3 linked regions of the Rhinolophus ferrumequinum genome follow. The protein of the gene in region 3 interacts with the protein of the main gene of each other region in a biochemical or structural test. Links are inferred from orthologs where the notes say so. Each region holds a gene or a part of one and is shown on either strand. Other genes may lie near its edges. The genes, in order: RET, ITGB3 and TLN1.

Evidence for each region.
Region 1: the proteins of TLN1 (region 3) and RET interact in a surface display test, tested with the Homo sapiens proteins (2 studies listed by BioGRID and IntAct, with this or other methods). The link is inferred for Rhinolophus ferrumequinum from reciprocal best matches to the Homo sapiens genes TLN1 and RET.
Region 2: the proteins of TLN1 (region 3) and ITGB3 form a complex in vitro, tested with the Homo sapiens proteins (6 studies listed by BioGRID and IntAct, with this or other methods). The link is inferred for Rhinolophus ferrumequinum from reciprocal best matches to the Homo sapiens genes TLN1 and ITGB3.

Annotation. Positions count from the first base shown.
Region 1 is NC_046299.1:67,027,877-67,035,526, forward strand, and holds the start of RET (proto-oncogene tyrosine-protein kinase receptor Ret), read right to left. Parts: upstream 3,268-7,650; 5' UTR 3,035-3,267; coding exon 2,977-3,034; intron 1-2,976. UniProt on the Homo sapiens protein: Receptor tyrosine-protein kinase involved in numerous cellular mechanisms including cell proliferation, neuronal navigation, cell migration, and cell differentiation in response to glia cell line-derived growth family factors (GDNF, NRTN, ARTN, PSPN and GDF15).
Region 2 is NC_046304.1:41,270,818-41,279,187, reverse strand, and holds the start of ITGB3 (integrin beta-3), read right to left. Parts: upstream 3,449-8,370; 5' UTR 3,360-3,448; coding exon 3,293-3,359; intron 1-3,292. UniProt on the Homo sapiens protein: Integrin alpha-V/beta-3 (ITGAV:ITGB3) is a receptor for cytotactin, fibronectin, laminin, matrix metalloproteinase-2, osteopontin, osteomodulin, prothrombin, thrombospondin, vitronectin and von Willebrand factor.
Region 3 is NC_046295.1:51,912,381-51,920,214, forward strand, and holds the start of TLN1 (talin-1), read right to left. Parts: upstream 3,250-7,834; 5' UTR 3,027-3,249; intron 1-3,026. Other genes in the region: CREB3 (cyclic AMP-responsive element-binding protein 3), read left to right, coding at 3,730-3,858, 3,950-4,097, 4,172-4,239, 4,363-4,452, 5,570-5,676, 5,787-5,855, 6,584-6,668, 6,767-6,851 and 1 more; GBA2 (non-lysosomal glucosylceramidase), read right to left, coding at 7,658-7,834. UniProt on the Homo sapiens protein: High molecular weight cytoskeletal protein concentrated at regions of cell-matrix and cell-cell contacts. Involved in connections of major cytoskeletal structures to the plasma membrane.

The sequences.
Region 1 (7,650 bases), on a different chromosome or scaffold from region 3:
CAAGCTCTCAGAGGCCAGAGGGACTTAGCGGGGAGTGGGGTAAGAGGATAGGGCCCAGGAGAGCCTGGGGAAGCAGGACCCACCTTCTATTAGCCCCTGGCCAAAGAGAAGGGAGGAGCCGAAAGTGGGGCAGCCTCCCTGGCCAGGGGCCACTCAGACACCTGCTGGTCCAGGCAGGAGCAGCTGCCCAGGCCTTCCTCACAGCAAGAAGGCTGAGCAAAATGGGACCTAAGAAGCCAGGCCAGGAAGATGAGAAACGTGATGCTGCTGAGGAGTTGCAGGCGGCCAAGGAGATGGTGCTGGACAGGGGTCAGCCGGGGACATGTGCAGGTGGAGTCCCAGGAGCCGGGATTCTCACTCCTCATCTATGCCTCAGGGATGGCTGCACCTGAGCTGAGCAGCAAAGGGCCAAAAACTCTTCTAAGAACAACTCTTAGGTGGAGGTTCCCTAGCTCTGGTTTAAAGATAGCCAGGGCTGATGGCTGGGGGTGGGGTGGGCGGGCCCAGTGCCCCTGTGTGCATATGCGGGATCCCAGTGTGCGTGAGTGGCAAGGAGGGGAGTGTGTGTGTCCACAGGTATCATGAACATGTCTCCTTGAGAAAGGGCAGGAGTGTGTCCTGGTGATGACTATGAGTGTGAGCATGTGTGTGCAAAAATGGATGTGGGGGTGTGTGTGTGTGGGTGTGAACACAAATACCAGGGTGTAGGTGAGAAGGCAAGTCCTGCCCTGTCGGGTAGTCTGTGTCTGCGTGGGCACCTTTTTTGAAGGTGTGTGCGGCTACACACAATAAGAGTAGGGGGAGGCAGGCTGGGGGGGGTGTCTATGTTCCATGGCCTTGCTCTGGGTCTCCCTGGGTCCTCCAGCCCACCCCTGCCAGCCCAGAGGCGGCGCTCGCTGCTCCTTCCCTGCTCTCTGCTCATGGCCACTGACCCCTTCCGAGTCACCTCCCATACCCACCTCCTGTCAGTCCCCCAGCACCGAAGGGAGCTTCCGGTCTTGGGGAGGTATCTTGCCCAGCAGGGGATGACCTGCATCCTCTAGAGACCCAGCCCCTCCTCCCAACAGGTCAGGCACTGGAGCGCTGCATCCACAAGAGGGCGCCCAGAGGCCCCGCTGCTCCCCGCCTGGGCGGGTCCAAGCGCAGCTGCAGGCACGCTAGTGGCAGCGGGGAGCGGCTCACTGAGACCCAGGCTCCGGCAGTTCCAGGGCTGCTGCTCCTAGTAGAGGGCACCCACAGGCCTCTCCAAGGCCTCGGCGGTCTCTTCCTGTGTGGTGTGGGGCCACCGCTCCACTCTCAGTGCCACCAATCGTGGTTTCTTGGTCATCCCAAGGGAAGGATGGGCAGAGTTGGGGGTTCACTGTCCCTGGATTGGAGAGCCTGTCTTTGGTCACCCAACTCTGTGGACCACAGCGATAGAAAAGCCACCTATTCCTGCCAAGTGCCACAGGCCCACCCTTGCAGCCCAGCCCCCACAGTTCAGCCCCCCCACAGTTCCACTGAGCACAGCAGCTAAAGCACAAGGCTGTGGAATGGTATGGGGAAAGCCTCTGAAGGCTGCTGAGGCTGCACTCAGCACACTGCTTCTGGCTCACACCTGACCACAAGTCCACAATTACAAAGTTGCAACCCAAGAGTTACAGGAGATCTCTATAACACCCTGTTCCTGTTTACTTCTGCCCTGCTGCCCCCAGGCTCTATTCACAGCCTCCTGCTCTCTTCCTCTAGCAGCACTGAGCCCAGGGTCCCAATACTGGAAACAGATTCCCTTCCCACATTCATCCCCACGGCAAAGAAAGGGCTTCTCCCCTGCCCTCTCTATGACGCATTGAGGATTCTGGCTTCAGTATCTGCTCCTTGACACTGGGATCCAGTCACACAAACGAAGCCTTGCGCAGGCCTGTGAACCCGGAATCTGTGCAGGACCTGGGCCTAGACACAGGGTGCCACGGCCTCTTCTGTCCCCAAAGGCCATAGGGAGAGAAAACCCTTTGTAAGTAGTGTTGGGGAGGTAGCCAGGGCTGTTTCCCTCTTTGAGGGAAACTTCATTCAGAAGCACAGCAGGAGGGGATCAGTCAGGGACGGTTTGAACGGAAGTAAAATGCATGGCCGAGGGGAGTAAAGATTCTATCTACCGCCTTGGGGTTCATCCTGTCAGGGTTTGGGGGTGGGGTGGTGACCAGCCTTTGCAAGAGCATATCTAATGCTCCCAGCACCAACACTGGTGGCACACGGCCCTACACCCTACTCCAAGATGGTCAAAAGTGCTTATTAAATGTTGACCCAGAGCCATCATACGGTCCCAAAGGCCGCACTTTCAGATGCCCCTGCCTGGCAACGGCGTGCGACTCTTAAAAAGCCTGCCTGGTGAGGCTCGACCGCGGTGGGCCCTCCGTGGGCTGCGCTGGGCCAGTCTGAGTGGGCCATCGAGGGCAGGCTTCCCAGAAACCACAGGCTTTTAGGTTTTTTAAAAAGATTTGGGCGGCAAAAAACTCACGAGGGAAAAGCAACGTTTTATAAAAGAGGAGATCCCCTCCTCACCCCACTGCGGGCCAGGGGATCACGGCAGGAGGAGGAATGAACCGACGTGGAGCGCGGAAAGGAAACCAGGACGCAGCGATCTTTTGCAGAAACAGAACTCCGTGCACAGGTCGCTGGCTTTCTAGGGCTATCTCACCCGTCCCGCGCTATCTGCGACGAAAGGGCGACAGTATCTGTCCGCTTCGGTCCAAGCGCGACCAGACTGCGACGCGCGGCTGCAGCTCGCACCGTGAACAGCGACCTCGGCCGCCGGGCCCAGCCCGCGACCCGCCCAGCTTGGGGCCTGAGGCTCCCTGCTCGCCGCACCACCTCGCTCCCCGCCCCGCCCCTGCGGCCCGCAAACGCGCTGCCTGCGGCCCGCCGCAAACAGGACGGCGTTTTCGATTGCGTCCACTCCACCACTCCAACTTGGCCCCGGCCGCCAGCAGGACTTACCTTCGCCGAGCAGCGGCAGCAGAAGCAGCCACCGCAGCCCCGCCGTCGTCTTCGCCATCGCCCGTGTGCGCCGGGACCGCGGCAAGAGGATGGTGGCTCGGACAGGGGGTGTAGGCGGCGGGGTGTAGTGCTCAGCCGGGCCGCTCCATCCCGCCCGGGACGCGGCGGACGCGGCGGACGCGGAGGACACTGCGGGCGCGGAGCGTCGGAGCGCGACACCGGGGCGCTCTCCGCTGCTTGGGCCGGGCTCTGATCGCCGGACTGAGGCAAGGCAGGCGCGGGCTGCGCGGGAGGAGCGGGCAGGGGCGGGGCGGCGCTGCCAGGGGGGCGGGCCGGGCGGGGCCAGGGACCGAGCGGGTGCGGTAGGGGCGGGGCTCGGGATACCCGCCCGGCAGCGCCCAGTGCGGAACCAGCAAGGCTCCAGTAGCGGACCAGTGCTGGACGTGGGGTGCGGGTGTGGTCTAAGCGGAACAGGAGTAGGAGCGAGGTGTGGGGCGCCGGGTGCTGGCCTGCCAACCTCAGCCCAGTCCGCACGCACAGCCACTCTTTCTCAGCCTGTGCGCCCTCGCTGTACCAACCCTTCACCCTTCCCCGCCTCCCACACGAGACAATTAAACCACGCGGGGATGCGGGGTCTGGGCAGCCTGGCTGGGATGCACCCGAGCGGACCTGGGGACCAGGCTCTTGGCGCGGAGCGCATCCTCCGCCATTTCTCAGACCTGGTCCTGGTGGCCTAGTGGGGTGCTTGGAGAGTAGCCACCCCTAAAAGAAGAGCTCTTTGGATGTGGAACTGAGTTGGAGAGCGCGTAGCAGGGAGGGACAGGAGCCTCAAATAATGTAATGTTCGCCCAAAGAAAGGATACCCACAAACACATACAATCCCAGAAAGGGGGAACTCAGGACCTTTAACATGGGGTTCCTGGGATGAGGTGAAGACGGGTTCTAGACCTCTGTGGGAAAAACCCACCGTTCTCCTCCTACCCCCTAGCTACCTTTTGAGGTCCTGCCTCCACCAGGGCCAGAGGAATGGAAGCCTTGGGGTGGGAAGGTCCAGCGCACCTTGGCCTTGGGGGCGCCCTTCAGGGTCTCTTCTTCCTGCTGTGCACACGAGGCTGGGGCTCCACCCTCTTGCCTGGCCAAGCTCAGGGCTGAATACGAGGTCTGCACATCACTCTGCAGATATGAAGTCAAAGTGAAGTCAGCCTTGCAGGCAGGAGGAGGAGCTGCCAAGACAGGATGGCTGGGGGTTCTGCCAGCTGAGATGGCCAGAGCCGGCCTGTGGCAAGAGGCCAGGGCACAGCATGCCCGGCTCTGGAGAGCCCCCCTTCAGCCATCAGACCTTGTGCTGCCTGTCTCACATGCCCAGAGCCCCACACCCTCGGATTTATAGGGCTGGTGGCCACGGGGCTCCCTTGTTTGTAGATAGACCCTTATTTCTGGTGCTAATGGCTACCAAGGCTGGACACTCGGGGCTGTGCCCAGGGAAGGGACCTGAGTAGAAAGGGAGGGGCTGAGGGGGACTTTACTGTTACAAACAGGCTCCTGTGGCAGGAAAATGCAGAAGGAAGAGGGGTGACTTGACCCATTCTTCCAACCATCCCCACCCTAGTACCTCCCAGGGAGTACCCTGGCCAGGCCTTGGCTGACACTGAACAGGCTGGATTCTGGCTGGCTCTGTGTGTCCCATCGGAGGCTGTGCTCCTGCCTGGGTCCCCCTCCCCCTCCCACTCTCTTTCCATCTCCACCCTTGGGGGTCTTGAATAGATGCCTGACACTATGGAGTGGGCATTGCCCTCCTTTTAGATCAGTGTCAGGGGAGCCTCACATTTGTACCATTGCACATACATGTACATGTGTGTGCATATGTGCATATGTATGTACTAACATGTATGGACTTGGGTGTGTACCCTCCCCCACGTGCACGCGCAGGGACTTGTCTGGAGGGCACCCAGTAGGGGAAAGGAGTGAAGTCCTGGGCTTGCTGGCTTCGGACTACGGGCGGGGGCTGACTCAGCCCTGCCTAGGATTGTGCATTGGCTTAAGATCCAGAACATCAGAATGGTAGGAAGGCGCTTCTTCTCCCAGCAAAGAGGAAATGAATGCAGCCTCCCTGAGGTCCCACAGGGCAAGGTCAGAGCCTGAGCTTCAGCCGAATCCAAAGGTGCTGGTCTGATTCCCCAGGAAGCCCCTCCCTTTGCTCCACTTTGTCCTAGGGGCGCCTGGGACAGTTGCATGGGAGAGTTTGCAGGAGGTTCCTGTTCTCTGTCCTGGCTTCCCCTAGTCATCTCTCTCTGTGCCTCAGCTTCCAACTATAAACATCCCCCTCAGAACGGATGAGGATAGAAAAGGGAGTATGTGTGAGGGTGGAGCTCAGTGCCAGGCACAAGTGAGTGCTCCATCAATCATAGCCATACCTATGCTTGGGACTTGGCTCTCTCATCCTTGCCCTGTTGAGGGACATGGGCTTCCATAGGCACTGAGAAGCTCTCTAGGAGCTGGGTAAGGGGGGTACATCCCAGTGTTGTCAGTGCTCCCCACCCCTGCCCACAGCCCCCCTTTTATCATAGATTCCGGGGCTCCACCTCCATAAAAATCGACATCTTAAAAAAGAGTCCCGCGAGAGGTTCTGATACGGGATTCTGCTTTGGAGTGAGTCAGAGCAGTTTGAATTTTGCCACTTACAGTCGTGTGACATTGCACAAATCACTGTACCTCTCTGGTTTTGCCATTTCTAAAATGGGGGCTAAAATAGTGCTCCCCCATCTGGATGGCTGGGAGGAATGACTGAAATAGTGTTAGTGAGGCCTTGCTCTCAGCACAGGATAAGGTGCTCCATGGGCGGGCAACTCACAGGTTATTCCTGCAGCATTCCTTGCCTCTGAGCAGGTGAGGCCTACCTGGAGCCCCTTGGGTCTGGCCCCAAAAGACAGCTCAGGGAAGGGACAGCACAGACAGGGATCCCATCTGGTGCCGGCTTGTCCAGGTGGGGAGGAGCTGCTGGTGATCATGGACCAGGGTGCTCTGTGATCATGGACCAGGGTGCTCTGTGATCATGGACCCAGGTGGCTGTGGCAACTCAGGGAGAAAGTCTGCTTTTAGGAGTGGAGACTGAGTGTAAGGATAGGAAATCCTGGCCCCAGGGACCTTACAGGGACGAGGAAACAAAGCCAGCAGCACAGCCCAATCCTGCAGGCACTAAAAGGCTAGACATTATTCCAGGAACTGCTGACTGAGGCCTGTTAGGCCCCTGCCTGGGGCCAGATGTGGTCAGAGGGGGTCCGGGAGGGGGTCTCAGGCAGTGTGACACAGAGGCTGGAAGCATAGGGGCTTTGAAGCTGACTGTGTACTGTAGCTAGTTGCTTGCTTACTTAGTTTCCCCTCTGTAAGCAGAGGTAATAAACCGCTGCACTGTCACTCCACTGGGTGTTAAGGTACAGGCATGTCTGTTTGCTGTCCTCCAGGTGCAGCTGCAAGGAGAGCCAGTGCTCACTAGCCGGCTGTGAGGGCCCACCGTGGGGCTCCCCATCCACTTACCTCCATTTCAAATATGCTGTCCCCATAACACACAACACACCAGGCTGGGGCTCCAAGGTGTGACTCAGGAACATCCTTCCCCTGACTGTGTGGAGGCCCTGCCTGCCTTCCTCTCACACACAGCTGGTATTTGAAGACAGGACCTCAGCCTGGCCAATGAGAGGACCCTCCTCAGGCCTGACCAGTAGCTGGGTGTTAGCTCAGGCAGGCCAGTCTCAGTTGGGCTGCCTTGTCCAGACCGCCCAGGGCTCCAGAGCAGGAGCAACTGTGTCCTGCATACTGTCAGAGACCCTGAGGCTCAGACAGGGCCCACCTCCACCTGGAAGGCCTGACCTCAACTCTTTGCCCCAACTCACCCTTCCATGGACCCCACAACAGACTTGTCTCCTCTGAATTTCTTTCCTCTCCCTTTTCCCTCCCCTTCTCTGCTTTTCTGCCTTCTCCTTTCATGCCTCCTCCGCTTCCCTCTTCTCGAGGAGGAATCTCAGCTCTATTCCTTTCACCTAGCCCCAGAACCAGGCTAACTGTGTCCCTGGGACTCGGCTTCCTCATCTGTACCTGGGAATGTCATACGGTTAGTGCCTCGCAGTGTTGTGAGGCCACACCCAAATGGTGCATTAGCAGGATCTGCACAGTTCCTGGCTCAGGAGGCGTTTTCCTCCCTCTTCTTTCAGCGTCCTCTAAAGTCCAGGGAGCTGTCTGGCTGGGAGGCCAGGGCAGTGGCATGTTGTGAAGGCTGCAGGTGGGCTCTGAGCTGTGTCCTGGCTTTGTCTCTTGTCTGTGTGACCTGGAATGTCCCTGGGCCTCAATGGGAAAGCAGAGTCCCCTTCCCCCAGGTGCCCGATGACACGTGAATCCCCAGACAGCCAATGAGTTGTCCCTCCTGATTCCCATCGGCTGTAGGAGTTGAGGCAAAGAGGCCACAGAGGTCAGTGGACGTCGCTGAGTTAGCACAGAAAGCAGGTGGTCCCTGGATCCAAATGACTGCTTCCCTTGTGCTGGCTCTGCAACTGCACAGGTAGTAGTGCACACCTGTCTGGACAAGGCAGCCCAACTGAGACTGGCCGGCCTGAGCTAACACTTTTCCCTCACCCTCCTACATGACCCACAGCCTTCTCAGTGGAAGGAGAGCGAGCCCTG
Region 2 (8,370 bases), on a different chromosome or scaffold from region 3:
CCTCTACCACTCACATGCACAATTTTGAGGACGGAGTGGGGGGTGGGGGGGGTGGAGTAAAGGAGAATGCTGCCTTATCCAGGAAGGGGAAAAAAGGCAGACACTTCACAGAGGGTCCCCTGAGTTTCCAGCACCTTCAGATCAGAGGTCTAAATGGTGCAATAGTGCAGAGATCCGTCTACCCAAAGAATTCATGGCCTCAGCTGTACTCCAATAGCCTGCAGAATGCCCAGAGGGAGCATTTGAGAATCTTCTCGGAATGAATGCTGATAGTCAAATATTGAGTTTCTTGAAGTGAGGCGCATCACCTCTAGATGCCTTCTCATAGCATTCTACAGATATTTACTTTGCTGCCTATGTGCCAGGTGCTAGGCACAGGCTGTTTATCAAACAGACATGTCCTTCTCCTCGTGGAACCTGAAATCTGGTAGATGTCTTTTATTTTCCTCTTTTCCCAGAGACAAGATTTAAGGTTTTCTCATGGATAAAGCAAATGTATTAGCCACTCTTTCTTGGCCTCTTCTGTGGGTTCTTGTTGGGCCAGAGTAGCTGAGATATGCCAAGCCACCAACAGGGAATGGGTTGAAAACCCCATGGGTGTGGGGAAAGGGACCGCACTGGGCTCATTCTGGGAGCCTGGATTGCACTCATGCATGAAGCAGTTAACAGCTCTTGCCTTCAATACATGGCACATACCATGGACAGGAAAAATAATGACAACAGCAGTTGCCATTTATTAATACTTATTTTGTGCCTTTATCTCATGTAACTGACATAATCATAGAAGTATGACTTTCTCTGCTTTACAGATGAGGAAACTAAAGACCCAAGAGATTAAGTAACTTGCCCAAGGTCACACAGCCAATAACAGGCAAAATCAAGAATTAAACCCACATCTGACCGGTTTTAAACCATAGCTCTCCCTTTCCCCAGGATATAAACTCAGGAGGAGAAATCAGCACCTCATCTCAGAACTAATCAACTTAGATGGTGATAGCAAACAAAACTTGTTATCCATTAGATCTCAGGTTAGAATAAAGACCTATCTATGGGGAAACCACAAAACCCCATATTTCTTGGGTGCAGCTAAAAAGATCACCTTTGTACATAAATTCCATAACGCAATTCTACCCTCAGACAACCTCTTCTCCCCATACCAGAATGTCCCATTCCCGGGCAGTGTCTCTGTGTCACCCCCACCCAGCCCTTTCTGTGCCCCTTCAACACTGTATGTCCCAACACAACTCTCCTACTCTCATCCTACCACCTGCTTCTCCAGGGATCTGATGACACCTGCAACCCAGCCACCAACACTGGCATGGGTGACTTAAATATAATCAGATCTGCTTTTACTGGGGACTCATGACGCTGGAGGTCTGATTCTAGAGCTCATGCTCTTAAACACTCCACTACCCTGCTTCTCAGAGAGAGTTTAGGACTAGCTCAGCACAACCCATCACTGCTGCTGAAACTGCCCTGATCATAACAAATCTGTGAACCGATCGCCTAGATTATATTTAATGCAAATTTAGGTATGTCAATGCAGTGGAATTCTATGTAGATTATTACAACTGTGTAAATCAGGTCAACGAAAGGTATACTAAGGTTGAGAGAAGGAAAGAGAGAGACACCAAAACAACATATCTATTCTTCATCTTCACTAATATTGAGCCATGAACCATGCTAGGCTCTACCTTATGTTACCTTACTTCTAAAACTGGAAGAAAATATAAGGATTAGACTCAGAAATCATCCAGAAATTCAGAAAGCTGTGGCTGTGAAAAGAAAAGAAAGCAAAAAAATGTTTTAAGTTCCTAGAAGCTAGCATCTCCGTGGCAGACATCTGAGTTGCCCTTCTGTATTTCTCCATTACCCCCACCAAGAGCAGGCAGCATCTGAGCCAGGGCTCTACACCTCCCAGGGCGGAATGATGGACACTCATACTTCTGTGCCATGGTCATCAGGCTGCTCACTGCAGGCGAAAGACATCAGTTGACCTGTTTGAGCTTCCATCACTTGGGAAGCTTCAGCAACAACAACTTAAATAGCCCCCTATCTATTATCTATAACTCCTCCATCAAGATATTGCTCATAGAATGTGGTGATGGTTTCAGGGCTGTATACATCTCTCCAAATTCATCAAGTTGTATACATTAAATATATACAGCTTTTTGTATGTCAATCATACCTCAATAAAGTGATTTTTTAAAAAAAGATATTGTTACGCTGTCCTGTATAATCTCTTACACCTGCGCACACACACATATACAAGTCTTGAAGGCATTTATCAAACTATTTCTGGATTTATCAGTACATCTTACTTTAAAAAAAAATACTTTCTTCAGGATTTAAATTGTCTCACGATGAGTAGCCCTCCTTTCACAGAAAGTACATCCTCTGCTGGAGAACACCCCAGCGGACTAGGCGTCCGAGACCTCCCCGGGAAGGTCCCAGAGCTCGGGAAGAACCACGGCAGCAGCCCAAGGTTGTGCTGGGCTCTGCCCGCTTTTGAGCACCAATGAAGCCGAATGCCAACTGCCTTGGCCGCTGATAGTGAGTGCAGCAGCAGGAGAGACAAAGCCAGGGAATCAAGCCAGCTTCAGGGACCCCTGGCGTGGCTCCCCGCATACACTGGAGATATTTCGGATGCAGGTCTGTCCCGGAAGCAGAGACACCGCTACCACCCGGGAACACTGTAGGAGGCAGAGCCGTCATGCTCCTCCGAATCGCTCCCGCAGGGAGTCACCAAAGTTTAAAAATAATAATAAACGGGAGAAAATGTAACACAAGGAAAAAGAGGAATGTGGATTAATTGGCAAACCTGCACGCACGCACGCACTCTCATCCGAGAAGCTACAAGCCCATCCCTCAGTCAACGCACGGGAACAGCCCCGGGGAACCCCAGCTCGCCCTGGCTACCAGGGCCAGTCTCTCATCGCACTGTCCTGAACACCTGTGATGAGCGCAGCCCGGGGCTGAACGCGGGGCTCACGGATGGGCCCACCGCACTACGCACGTCGAGGCCGCCCAGAACTGGCGCCTAACCCGGCGAATGGCTTCGGCGTCCCGGAGGACCCACCCCTAGGGAGCCCCTCGCCCTGCCACCCAGGGACCGAGAAGGTCCCCAGCTGCGGGCTCCGACAGCCCCATCCTGGCCCCGCGCACTCAGAGCGCAGCCACGCGGGACCTGCTTGCCAGGTTTCCCCGCTCCAAGTCTGCAAACTTGGCTGTGGCAAGATGCGCGGCGCGGGTCCCCCGAGAGCCGCGTAGGGGCCGCCGGAGCCTCACTCACCTCCGACGCCGACGCCTGCCAGCGCCCCCAGCACCAGCACCGCGGCCCAGAGTGGCCGCGCTCGCATCTCGTCCGCCCGCCGCGGCGCTCCGCCTCGGCCGCGCCCGCCCGCTCCACAGCTAGCAGCTGCGCCCGCGGCCGCTTTTCCCGCAGCGGGAGGGGAGGGGACGCCGTGGGTGGGACGCAACGGGGCGGGCCACGGACTTGCGCTTCCTCCCCTAGGGCCCTTTTCTGGACCCTGAGCTGGAGAGGGGGCGGTGGGAAAACGCGGTGCCTCTCTCACCGCCATGATCAGCAAGCGAGGCGAGGCTGGGATCCGAGCGAGGCCATGGGCGCATCCTCTGCAGACATCCTGGTTCTAGGGTCCGCGCCCGAGCACTTGGCCTGTGGTCCTCTCCTGACTTACTCCCACCTCCTCGGGGACATCCACGCGGCTTTCTCTTTCACCTGCATCCTGGGGCTTTTCCTCTGTACCTTGACTTTCATTCATTCACACATTCATTTAATTGACAAATATCTGTTGAATGCCTACTTGGTGTCAGGCACTGGTTTAGTCCTTTATTATTCACTAGTTTTTTCTTGGGTGAGTTTGGTTTTCAGGTAGACTGTAAGCCTCTTGAGGACAAAACCACATCTCAAGCTTGTATAAGCAGTTATGAACATAAAGGGCCTCTCTCTACAAATACTTGCTTGCCTATAGAAGGTAGATGATAAACATTTAAGGACACAGTCAGTACAGCAGTGTCCCCTTACACACGGGTGGGAAGGACGGGTTACAAGACCTCAAGTGGATGCCTGAAACCCAATACAAACCTTATATGTACTGGGTTTGTGGTGTTTTCCCCCCTACATATGCATACCTTTTCACTTAAAGGAGGCACTTTATGGTTTCTCTTTGGCATGTCCGAATTGCTAGCATCACTACTCTTGCGCTCTGGGACCACTATTAAATAAAACAAGTGTTTTATTTTGAACAGAAGCACAGTGATACTGCCACCATCTATCTGATAACCTAGAGTGGGTGGATAGTGCTATACAGCCCGGACATGTGGGACAGAGGACAAAGGCGTGATTCATATTCTTGGCAGGACAAACAGGTGGGGGCGGGGGGCTACTCAAAACTGTGCCCAATTTAAAACTTAGGAATTCTTTATTTCTGGAATTTTCCATTTAATATTAATATCAGACTGCCATTGACAGCAGGTAACTGAAACTAGGAAAAGCTAAACTACAGATAAGGGGCTACTGCTGTATACTGTCTCCAAACTCAAACTCACAGGCTTTGGAGCTTTATCACATTTTCCTCAAAGGCCTTTCCCCAAATCCTTTCTCTGGGTCCCTTCTGGGTCATCACCAGACTAGAAACCTCAGGAAGCTCAAAGGGACAAAAATGCTAGCATTGTGAGCTGGGGGGGGGGGGGGGGGGGTGGGGGGAGGGGAGGAGTAGCTGGGGCTGGTGCAGGCTGTGGGATGGGTAGCTCTAAAACAAGGCGTAAGGCCTCAGGAAGGAGCTGGAAATCTCTCCAGCTCCTGAGCTCCCCTCAGGACCATCGGGGTACCCCTGGGCTTCCCTAAGCCCTTTCCTGAGATACACAAGATGCCTGAAAACTGGCCCTGACTCAGCTCTCTGCCTCATCTCCCACCTAGCCCCAAAAGATATTTAGCATTCTCAAACACTCCATGCCTTTCTGTCTGACTGATCTTCCTTCCTTTTTCCACCTGGAAAATTCCACTTATCTATCAAAACATCTCAGATGTCACCTCTTCCATGTAATCTTTTCTGATGCCCCTCTCCTCCAAACCCAATCTCTGCAGAGCTGGACATTCCCTCCTCAGACCTCCCAAACACTAGGATACACACAGTGGTTAACACACATCAGCAGAAGTGTCACTAGGAGTGTGCAAGGGGGCAGGGGAGGAGCCAGCCCACAAAGAGTAGCTGGGCTTCCTGACCTGGGCTTTGAGTGGCCAGTTCCATGTACCTCCCCTAGCTGGTGGAGGGCCTCTAGGCTAGAAGCCATTTCAAGAGCATCGTTATTGCCATGGAGCAAAATCTAGTTCACGTAGCCTGGTTATATCTCTGCCTAGATATTTACTTATTTGCCAGATTATACACACACACACACACACACACACACACACACACACACATCCCGGGGTGCCAAAAAATGTATACACATTACTTATATTCATCTATTGTTATCAGTATATGTTGAGTATTAAAATTTTAATACAGTTTTTTTTCTTTCTTCAAATGTATATACATTTTGGGGGCACCTTCTGTGTTTACCATTTCAGATGCTCTTCATTCCATCATCTAGTTCTGAGTTTCTATCGGATTTCATTTCCCTTCACCCTGGAGAACTTACTTTAGAAAATTTTACAATGAAGGTCCACGGACAACAAATATGTTCAACTGTGTTTATTTCACCCTCATTTTTAATGATATTTCTTAGAAATGGATTTCTAGGTTGACAGGTTTTTTTCTTTCAGTACTTTAAAGACGTGGTTCCACTGTTTTTGGCCTCCATTGTTTCTTTTGTTGTTATGTGTCAAAACAAGCTTTATGCTGTTTGAAAACCTAATACAATGCATTAAAGCAACTCAAAACAAGACATAGCTCCACTACATCTATAGCTTGAGCAAAATGTTGAGGCACACTCCCCCTGTCCCACCCCAACCTGGCCTCCATTGTTTCTGATGAGAAGTCAGCCATCATTTACATTCTTGTCCCCTCTCTTTTCCATCTGGTTTTTTTTTTTCTTTTTCTTTTGAAATCATTTACACTTCAGAAAAGTTGCAAAATACTAAAGAGAGTCGCCTTTTATCCTCTACTCAGTTTCCTCTAATGTTAACATTTTATATTGCCATAACATAATTATCAAACACAGGAAATTAACATTGATACAATATTATTAACTAGTCTACCTTCAATATTTGAATTTTGCCAATTTTCCCATTAATATCTTTTTCCTGGTTCCAGGATCCATCCAATTCAGGATCCCACACTGCATTGTCATCATGTTTCCTCAGTCTCCTTCAATCTGTGACATTTTCTCAGTCTTTTTCTTTCATTACCTTGACACTTTCGAAGAGTCTAGGCCAGTTTTGTTTTCTCTGTATGGGTTTGTCTGATGTTTTCTCATGATTGCATTGAGGCATTCCGGACAAGAATACCATAAAAATGATGTGTGTTGTTAGTGTATCATTTCAGAGGATACGTGATGACAATATGTCTTATTACTTATAATGTTAACTTTGATCACATGATTAAGATGGTGTCTACCAACTTTCTTTGCTATAAAGTTACTATTTTTCTCTGTAATTAATAAATATTTTATGGGAAGATACTTTAATTCTATGCAACTACCCTGTTTCTCTCCATACCTTTACCCCCTAATTTTAGCATACATCAGTGGTTCTTGACTGAAATCAATTATTGTGGTGTTTGAGTAATAGTGCTATATACTATTTCCCTTTCCCTTCTACAGCTACTAATTGGTATTCCACAGTAAAGAAGAGTTGCCCTTTACCTCTCATTTTAAAAATACAGTTATATATTTATATCAATATGAATTCATAGATATTTACTGTATTCTCTGGGTTACAATCCATTACTATCATTATTAATTTTGCTGCTCAAGTTGTCCCAGGTTTGTCTCTGCTTCTAAGTTTTCTCTTTATCTTTGGTTTTTCAATAGCTTGATGTAAGTTAAATATATGCTGTTTGCTTTGTATTTATCTTGTTTGGGGTTGATGAGACTCTTGGATACATAACTGATTTATTAATATTTTTCACCAAATAGGAATGTGTTAGCCATTATTTCTTCAAATATTTTTTCTGCACATTAGCTATCTCCTTATCTTCCAAAACTCCAATTACACATATTTTAGATATATCTAAATATTTATTATTATAAATATTTATATAATTATAAATATTTAGATATCCCACAGGCCACTGAGGCGCAGTTCTTTTTTTTTTTAAGTCATTTCTTTGTTTTTCTAATTAAATAGTCTATTAATCTCTTTTAAAGTTTCCCAATTCTTTCTTTTGCGTCTCTAATATGATATAAAGTCTATCCAGGGAATATTTTGGACATTGTATTTTTCAATTCTAGAATTTCCCTTCAGACTCTTCTATAGTTTCAGTTTCTCTGCTGAGATTCCCCCGTATCTTCGATCATTATGTCTCCATGGTCCCTTGAGTCCTTAAACGTGTTTACAGCAGCTATTTTAAAATTCTAGTCTGGGAATTCTGACTCATCTCTGGGTCTGTTTCTCTCTCTCTCTTTTGTCCCTTGAAAAGTATTGAGTTTTGTTCTATTAGGCAATTAAATTACTGGCAGATTATCTTGATCAAGGCTTGGTTTTACTCTTTTTCAGAACTGGTCTTTTTTTATTTTGTCCTTAGTCTTAGAGTGTGGTTGTTTGTGTGTGTGTGTGTGTGTGTGTGTGTGTGTGTGTGTGTTTGGTTTTTTTGTTTTTTTTAATTGGGGAATATTGGGGAACAGTGTGTTTTTCCAGGACCCATCAGCTCCAAGTCAAGTTGTTTTCAATCTAGTTGTGGAGGGCGCAGCTCACTGGCTGATGTGGGAATCGAACCGACGACCTTGGTGTTATGATACCTGCACTCTAACCAACTGAGTCAATCGGCTGCCCAAGGTGTGGTTTCTTTTTGTAGAACATGGTCCTTACTCCTAAGGTGTGAACTTTCTGTATCACCTAAGTACTTGAGTTGTTCAGTGACATCTTTTCACTTTGCCTGGGCTGAGACACCAACATCTCTAAGCCATGTGCAACCTCTAGTGTTCTGCTCTAGCTCTCTGCTCCAGCTCTCACTGCTCTCTGCAAAGCCTCACAGAGTCTAACCACATGTCTGTGCAGCCCAACCCTCATCTAAAGACCCTGGGGCACACCCATGCAGACTTCTGGGAGCACCTCTCTGTCCATTGCGTCCCGCTCTGAAAGCCTTCCCTGCCACTCACAGCCTCCTCAGCAGCCCTGAACTCTAAGCTATGCTGTTCAGCTCAGTGAGACCATCATGCACTTCTTAGGGTCCACCTTCTTGAACTGCA
Region 3 (7,834 bases):
ATAAGGTATGAAGCCAGGATCCGAACCCAGGTCTCTCTGACTCCAAAGCCCAAGCTCTCTCCACTACATCAGCCGGAGATGAGTCAAGGGTAGCATTCCAGGCAGAGAGAATAGCATAAGCAAAGGTGGAGAAGCAGGAAACCATGGAGGAACATTCAAGAAGTGAGCAGACAGGCTGGCTGAAGCACAGGGTACCTGCAATGGAGCAGTTAGGGTTAGGATGGAAAGGCAAGGGAGGACTAGAGAGAAGTATGAGGGATTTTACCTCCTGGAGGGCAACAGAAGGCCAAGGGAGGCTGTGTGCAGGGAAGGGACATCACAAGAACTGGATTTTAGGAAAATAATTGGCAATTACTTTGGAGATTGGTTAGAAGGACACTGCATTAGCACAAGTGGGGGGTAATGAAGCCAGAAATAGAATAGTGGAGAGAAGGATGTCACTCATTGGAAACTTTAAGACATAGAACTAAAAGGACCTCATGACAGCCTGTCCTGTCACCCCTCAGGGCCCAGGGCCCAAAGTCAGGCTTCTTGTCATTAGTGGCCCCTCAGTGGCTGGGATAGCTTGAGTTTAGGTAAGAAACTGGGAAGGGGGAAAGAAAGGATCAGGGTGAGCTGCGAATGTGAGGATGAGCTGTGGTTAGGGGATGTGGTTAGGCTGTGGGAAAAAGGGGGTGGGGATGTGGACGGTACCACGTAGGAGCAAAAGGGATGAGGTTAGTATCCTGTGTCAAGTAGTACTAGACTTATGGGGTGGTCACTTCGTAAAGTATATAAATGCCTAATCACGATGTTGCACACTGGAAACTAACATAATATCGTATGCCAACTGTAATTGGAAAATAAATTAATTTAAAAAATACAATGCATACACATGCCTCCTTTTAAAATTAAAAAAGAAGTGATAAGGTTAGTTACTGAACTGGACTGGAAATGGGGAAGACAAGGTACCGAGAAACGTGGGGTAAGATGGCAGTAGGAAAAAATACATATGTAATCAGTCACCACTTTATGCTGGGGAAGAGGAAGAATAGTTCTGTGGACAGTGGCTAAGTCAGGGAAGGATGAAGTGAGGTCAGAGGCTAGGTCAGGCTACAGGAGGCTGAGAAGAGATGGGCTGTGGTCAGGAGCTAAATTAGGAAGGCTGGGATGGAGGGAGAGTAAAGGGACACTGGTAGTGTCTAAGTAAAGCTGGAGTTGCTGGGGTGGGGCAGGGCATGGGGTGCAGCCAGTGGCTGCATCAGGCTGGGTAGGGGATAGTGCTGTGGTCAATGGCAGGGTCAGGCTGGGAGTAAAAGGGGGTGTGGTCAGTGGCCTGCCTGGGCGTGGGATCAGCAAGACCCAGTTTCCTCTTTGGGTCTCATTTCCTCTTTTCTGTTTAGGGAGTGGGGGAAGGGGATCTACAACAGGACCAAGAAATTAAGGAGGCTTAGAATCAGGGAATGGCACATAGCAGGGATGAGGGGTACTTGCCAGTTGTGTTGGGCTGGGGGTGGGGTATTCAGCAAATGACTAAGAGGTATACAGGTGAATGAGTGGGTGAAAATGGTGGGAGAGTGCTGTAAAATAATGGGAAAGCTCGGATTTGGGTGAAGGTAAATTAAGGTAGGATGTGTAGATTAACAGGTAGGAAGGGAGGCAGACCTGAGGCTAGGAATGGATGGTAAGATGAACATGGGAGAATTAAAGGCAAGGTAAGTATTCTGTAAAGGAATATGCAGGAAGAGTGTGAAATGCAGGGCCAGGGAGAAGAGTTGGAGAGGAGGGCTTAATATCTAGATAATGAAGGAAATAGGAGGCAGTGGGGCTGAACTTTGAGAGGATTCAGTCATCCCTTTCTTCCCTTGGCAACAGTGTCTCCTTGCTCTACTTCCCTCTTAGTCACCCGTCCCTTCTCCCCTAGGCGGTCCCCCACTTATGACTAGGCCTTGACCTGTCTCCCACCTCCTATCTTGTAAACAACATAGTCTGGGAACCCCTGCCTCTCAAATGTGGTGGCCATAGCAAGAGCCTTTGGCTTAGAGAGTAGAATAAAGAAGGTGGAATCCCAGATGCCTGCAATTCTAGCTGAAGTCCAGAACTATGGCGTGAAATTAGTTTGTCATTTCTCTAGGTCAAAGAAGCCCCTGCAACTACATAGGAAAAAGAGACTTCACCACCGCAAAACAAGGACATCCACCTACTGCCAATGTTGTAACTTTTACCTGCTTGAAGTCACTACCCTAACCTCAACCACCACCTCTAAAACTGCCCCTAATTTCTAATATTAACCTTGACCCTAATTTGTTTCCTGTTTCCCAATACCGGTTTTGACATTCATCCCTTCCTGGGAAGATACCTGTATCCAATCCCTGATCCCTAATATTGATAGAATTTTTACCTTTAGCACTAGATCCTCTGACCTTAACCGTAAATGTTGACTCCTAAACCTATAGCTCATTTGTCAGTTGATTCCTGACCCATCCCTTCACTGTTTGACCCTAATACGCCACGGTTCTCTAATCCCTGAAACTGAACTTCTAACCTAATTCCTGTTGTTGACCCTGAACTCTAATTTTGACTTACTCTGGCCATCCTAGAAAACAAAATAATGACCTTAATCCAAACTTTATCTATATAAAAGGGACCTGGCTCAGGCTAATAACTATAAATTTCAACCCTGGCTCTATAACTCCTAAAGCTAACCTGATTCCTAAATCTAATTTCACCTAATCCCAAACTCACCCAACGCTTTCCTAGCAGCTAACCTCAAAAGCCGATCCCCACCCTGCACCTCACTACCACCCTACTTCTCATCCTCCCCAAAACCTATCCCAGACAGAAGACTGCTCCCAGGAAGGGCCTGGCTCCCGCAAAACGGCCTACCTAACTCCGAGCCCAACCCCGGATGCACTGGACGCTGACCCCTCCAACAAGACCCGAAACAGGAGACGCAGGAGAGTTAGGGGCCCCGCCTGCCCACCCGCCTCCCCGGCCTGGCCTCGAGGCCCCACCTTGAGACTCCCCCTTGGCCCAGTCCAGCCTACCTGAGCTGCCCGGCTTGTGCCCCGCCCGCTGGCCCGCTAGCCCGTCTGTTCTCCCGATGGCTCTCGGGCTCCGGCCTCGCCCTCCCTTCGGCACTCTCGGCCACTTCCGTCCCTGGAACGTCCCCCACCCGCGGGCGGCGCCCTGGGCCCGCGCTCTATGGTTGCGGGGGACGGCAGGAAGCTGCTCTGGCCCCAGCTCTCGATGCTCGGGAGCGCGCTGAAGACCGTCTGGCCCTCCCCCGCAGGAAGCAAGGGTGCGGCGCAGTCCCGGGGAAACGGCCGAACTGCACCGCAGTTCCTTTGGAGTCTGATCCTTCCTTATTCTAGCTTGGGGCAAAGGCGGCGCCGGCTCCCCAGAATGCCCGCCCTCAGGGTGTGAGGAAGCAGCAGGGACCTCCCCTGTATTTGCATAGCTCCCGGGACGTGGCGCGGCACCTAAGCCACTTCCGCGTTTAGAGAGAACTTTAAGTCCCGGGATGCTTTGGGGTAGGCGTGTCACTTCCGTTGTGTTGGAAGCTGCGGAGAACCGAGTCTCGGTGGCGGGTCTTGTTTGAGAGCTACGACTAGTAGCTACGGGGAAAGCCGGCCGAATAGGGACTAGCGGATAGGTGGGGCTGACTCACAATCGGTGAGGGTCGTGCATGGGGCCGGGTGGAAGGGTGAACTCCTGCGCTTGTGCCCATTCTTTCTGTAGGTGGCCCATATGGATTTGGCGTTGGACCCGGGTGACCAGGACCTGTTGGCCTTACTACTAGAGGAAAATGGAGATTTGGGGGTGGCGTCCGATGCGTCCTTCGAGGCTCCACTGGACTGGGAGTTGCCGATTTCCGAGGTGGGCGGGGGCTCTGAGCCCGGGAGGTGGGGGGCGGGGTGTTCTTGAGGATGGTGGTAGGTCAAGGCCTGTTAATTTGAATCCTGTTCAGGCACTGAGCGATTGGGATGTAGAGGATTTCCTGAGCTGCCTGACGAGTTTCCCAGCATCGTCGAACGTTCTCAACAGCTCGAATCCCTGTCTGGTCCATCATGACCACACCTATTCTCTCCCACAGGAACATGTTTCTATAGATCTAGGTGAGTCTGAAATAAGTGAATTTTGAGGGGAGGAAGGGACTCATGAACCTGGCTATTCACTTTCCCTTTTGCAGATAGTGGGAGTTCTGGAAAAGAGGAGGCCCAGATGACACCCCTACATGTGGAGGAGCCCGCAGAACAGGTACTTTGTTTACTGGAGGATTATTCCCACATTGCACATTATTCCCACATTGCAGACAGGATTCCTCATTCCTCTCTGACATGCTCCCTTGTGACTCTGCCTCCCACCTTTCTGTAACCCCAGGAGATTGTTAGGCTGATACTGACAGATGAGGAAAAGAGGCTATTGGAGCAGGAGGGGCTTACTCTGCCAGAGACATTTCCTCTCACTAAGGTAAGACTCCCAGTGGTGGATCAAAGACTGGAGGGGTGAGGATTGAGTCCCAAGTAGTCCAATTCTGTTAATTTTTCATCAGTAACTTACTAAAGGACGAAAGTGAGAAATTAAGCAAATTTGCTGCTAATAGGAAGCCGGGGGATGTAGTTATATACTGGATGCAGGGGCAGATCCTGGTTTTGTGGGGCTTACACAAATTTTGGTATTCTTTGTAGGAAAGAATTCAAAATTACCAGTGCATTAGTTAGTATAGGGACTTGGAAAGGACTGTGCAAGCAAGGGGCTCTGACATTTAGATTTCACTAGGTGGATTACCATATCTATCTAGCTGAAAGGTCGAATTAAGTTTTAGAGTTCAAGACTGGACTTAGTAGTATAACAAGAATAAACGTAAAATCTTGAGTTTTAAGTTTCAAGAAGCAATGGGTGGCAGTCTCGCAAGCATAATATTGTGATACTGTGATGAGATCAATGTTCATTGACAGAAAGGTTAAAAGAGTTTCTTAAAAGTACAAGATGAGTCAGCAGTGTGATATGGTCACTAAGAAAGTGAATGGGGTTTGGAGGCTGTATCAATAGAGGTATTTCCTCTAGAAGGGCAGTGACTATCTTGCTCTCCTTTATACTGGTCAGAGCATATCCTAGTGCCAAGTTTTGAGTCCAGATCTTTGACAGATAGTAAAAGGAGTAAAAGGACACAGTCCATCCTGAGGAGGTAAGATGATGAGTTAAATATTTTATCCCACCCCCCAAAAAAGTTGCCCAGATTTATCTTTGCTTGGAGGAAATGTTGAGTGTCTTAAAATAGCTGAAGACCATTTGTTCTGTATAGCTCCCGAGATTAGGTATGAGGTAAGTCCAATGGATAGAATTATCGAAGCAGATACTGGCTCAGGATAGGGAAGATTAATTTTAATTAATAAAATTGTTAAAAATAGTCTGGCTTATGAGGGTGTTAACACCTAGTCCTCAGAGGCATTTAGCCAGAAGCCAAGTGCCTACTGGTCAAGGAAGCTGTAGAAGGGATTCGTGCATTGGCAAGATTACTCAGTTGCCTTCCAACTCTTTGGTCCAGTGTTCTGTGATGATACCCCTTTTCCCTGTATTATCTCAGATGGAGGAACAAGTTCTGAAACGAGTGCGGAGGAAGATTCGCAATAAAAAGTCTGCTCAAGAGAGCCGCAGGAAGAAGAAGGTGTACCTGGGGAGTTTAGAGAGCAGGTATAAACAGGAGAGGGGCTCTGGGGTGGGTGGAACAGAAGTAGCTGGAAGTGATATGTTTTTGAAGGGAGGATACAGGCCATATCCCCACATCCCTGTTATTCCCCCAGGGTCTTGAAATACACAGCCCAGAATTTGGAGCTACAGAACAAAGTACAGCTCCTGGAAGAACAGAATCTGTAAGCAACTAACCTCAGTCTCTTCTCATCCCTCCCATTTAATGAGCTTTCACTCTTTTCCCTGCTCTACATTTGATTTCCAACTGGGCAGCTCCCACATGCAAGGTCTGGTGTATGGCCTTTAGTGGGTCTGATTCTAAGACGCTCACAGTAATGGGGATTAAATTCACAAGTAACTAAGGATGAGTTAAGTATCAAGAAAGACAAAAGGAGGGAGTAAGAAAGACCTCACAGGGCAGATGGCATTTGGTAGTAGATAGGATTCGGGGGGGGGGGGGGGGCGGGGGGGGGAACATTTTAGGGAGAGAGAACACAGCACAGGTTAGTCTGGCTGGAATCCTAACATAGGTGAGTTGGGACAGAAGGGAGAGAATGTAGGCTGCCTGGTGAGGTTTATGTGCATAGCTACTTAGGCAGTATAGAACCACTGACTTTGCAAGAGTTTAAGTCAGGGCAGGGCAGAGGTGTGTATTTGTTTTAATGAGGAACTTCAGGCATTTTGTCCACAGAGAGGACAAAATGTCCTATTTGCAAAAATAGGACAAAAAACAAGCGAGTTAGAGCTTCTGGGTCTCGTGTATACATGGGGTATACGTTATTAAACATTTTCTCCTGCTTAAAAAAAAACAAAGAGGACCTAGTGCACAGATGGAGGGGTGGCCTTTATAGGAGGGTTTCATTGTGTCTCAGGTGCCAGGTGACAGGCTGCTCACTGTCCTCTGTCCTAGGTCTCTCCTGGATCAGTTAAGGCGACTCCAGGCCATGGTGATTCAGATATCAAACAAAACCAGCAGCAGCAGCTCCTGTGTCTTGGTGAGGACGGTGATGGAAGAAGAGATCCTTTTCTCTCAGGTGGCAGGGACACGGGTACAATCCAGAGCCCTTCTTCATCTCCTTTTCCTGTGCTCCAGGTCCTACTGTTCTCCTTCTGTCTCCTCCTTGTACCTGCTATGTACTCCTCGGACGCAAGGGGGAGCCTGCCAGCTGAGCACGGAGGTGAGAGGCTTGATACCATTAAGGGGAGTCTGGGGGGGAAAGCCTGGCCTGCTCCTGAAGAGTCTTTGTCTCCTCAGTGTTATCCCGCCAGCTTCGTGCCCTCCCTAGTGAGGACCCTCACCAGCTGGAGCTGCCTGCCCTGCAGTCGGCGGTACCGAAGGACAGCTCATACGACGAGCTCCAGGCTCCTGGCAACTCTTGCTGCCTGTTCTACATGCCTCAGGCTCCTGGCACAGAGCCTTCCCTGAAGTTGCCACTCCCTGGCCCCTTCTCAGAGTCCTCCTGCCCTGGTCCCATCCTTTCCCTGCATGCAAATCACACGAGAGAGATGGGATGGCTCCCAACCCATAGCCCCGTATCTGTTATCTTGCAGGGCAGATACTCAGGCTAGTTGTGAGGCCTGATGCCTCCAGTCGTGTCCAAATGAAAAAGAACGGGAGAGGGCTGGTCTCAGCTCCTGTGCCCTGTCAGGAAGCCTGAGGGCTCAAACACACCACACTTAACCAACTTTCTGGGTCTTTTATTTGTACCCATGGATGCCTATCACCCTGTGAATGGGCCTGGGAGGATGAACTTACCTCCTTGAACATTTCATGCAGTGAGGGGATAGGGTGAGGAAAGAAATAAATAAGTGATTCTGATGCTTGGGTCACCCTCAACCCCTCTTTACTGGCGTGGTTGGGTGGGGAGAAGGGAAGGGGCATGATTGTCCTGGTGGCTCAGGGTTGCAGGAGATGGGAGGCGAAGGAGGAAAGGCGAGGCTAGAGGCTGAGCTGTTAGATCCTCCCTCCCACAGTTCAGAGGGCTCACACTGGGCTCGGGTTGGCCATGGCTCCCTTTGGTCCGAGTGTAGGCCCTGTGTTTAGTCCTGTGCCCTGTTCGGCTCTTGGCCTGGAGGCCTTTTCATGCTGCTGCTGCTGCAGGGCTAGCTGCATGGCCCAGATACTCAATGGCCGCATGTAGGCCAGAGAGCGGAACACCCG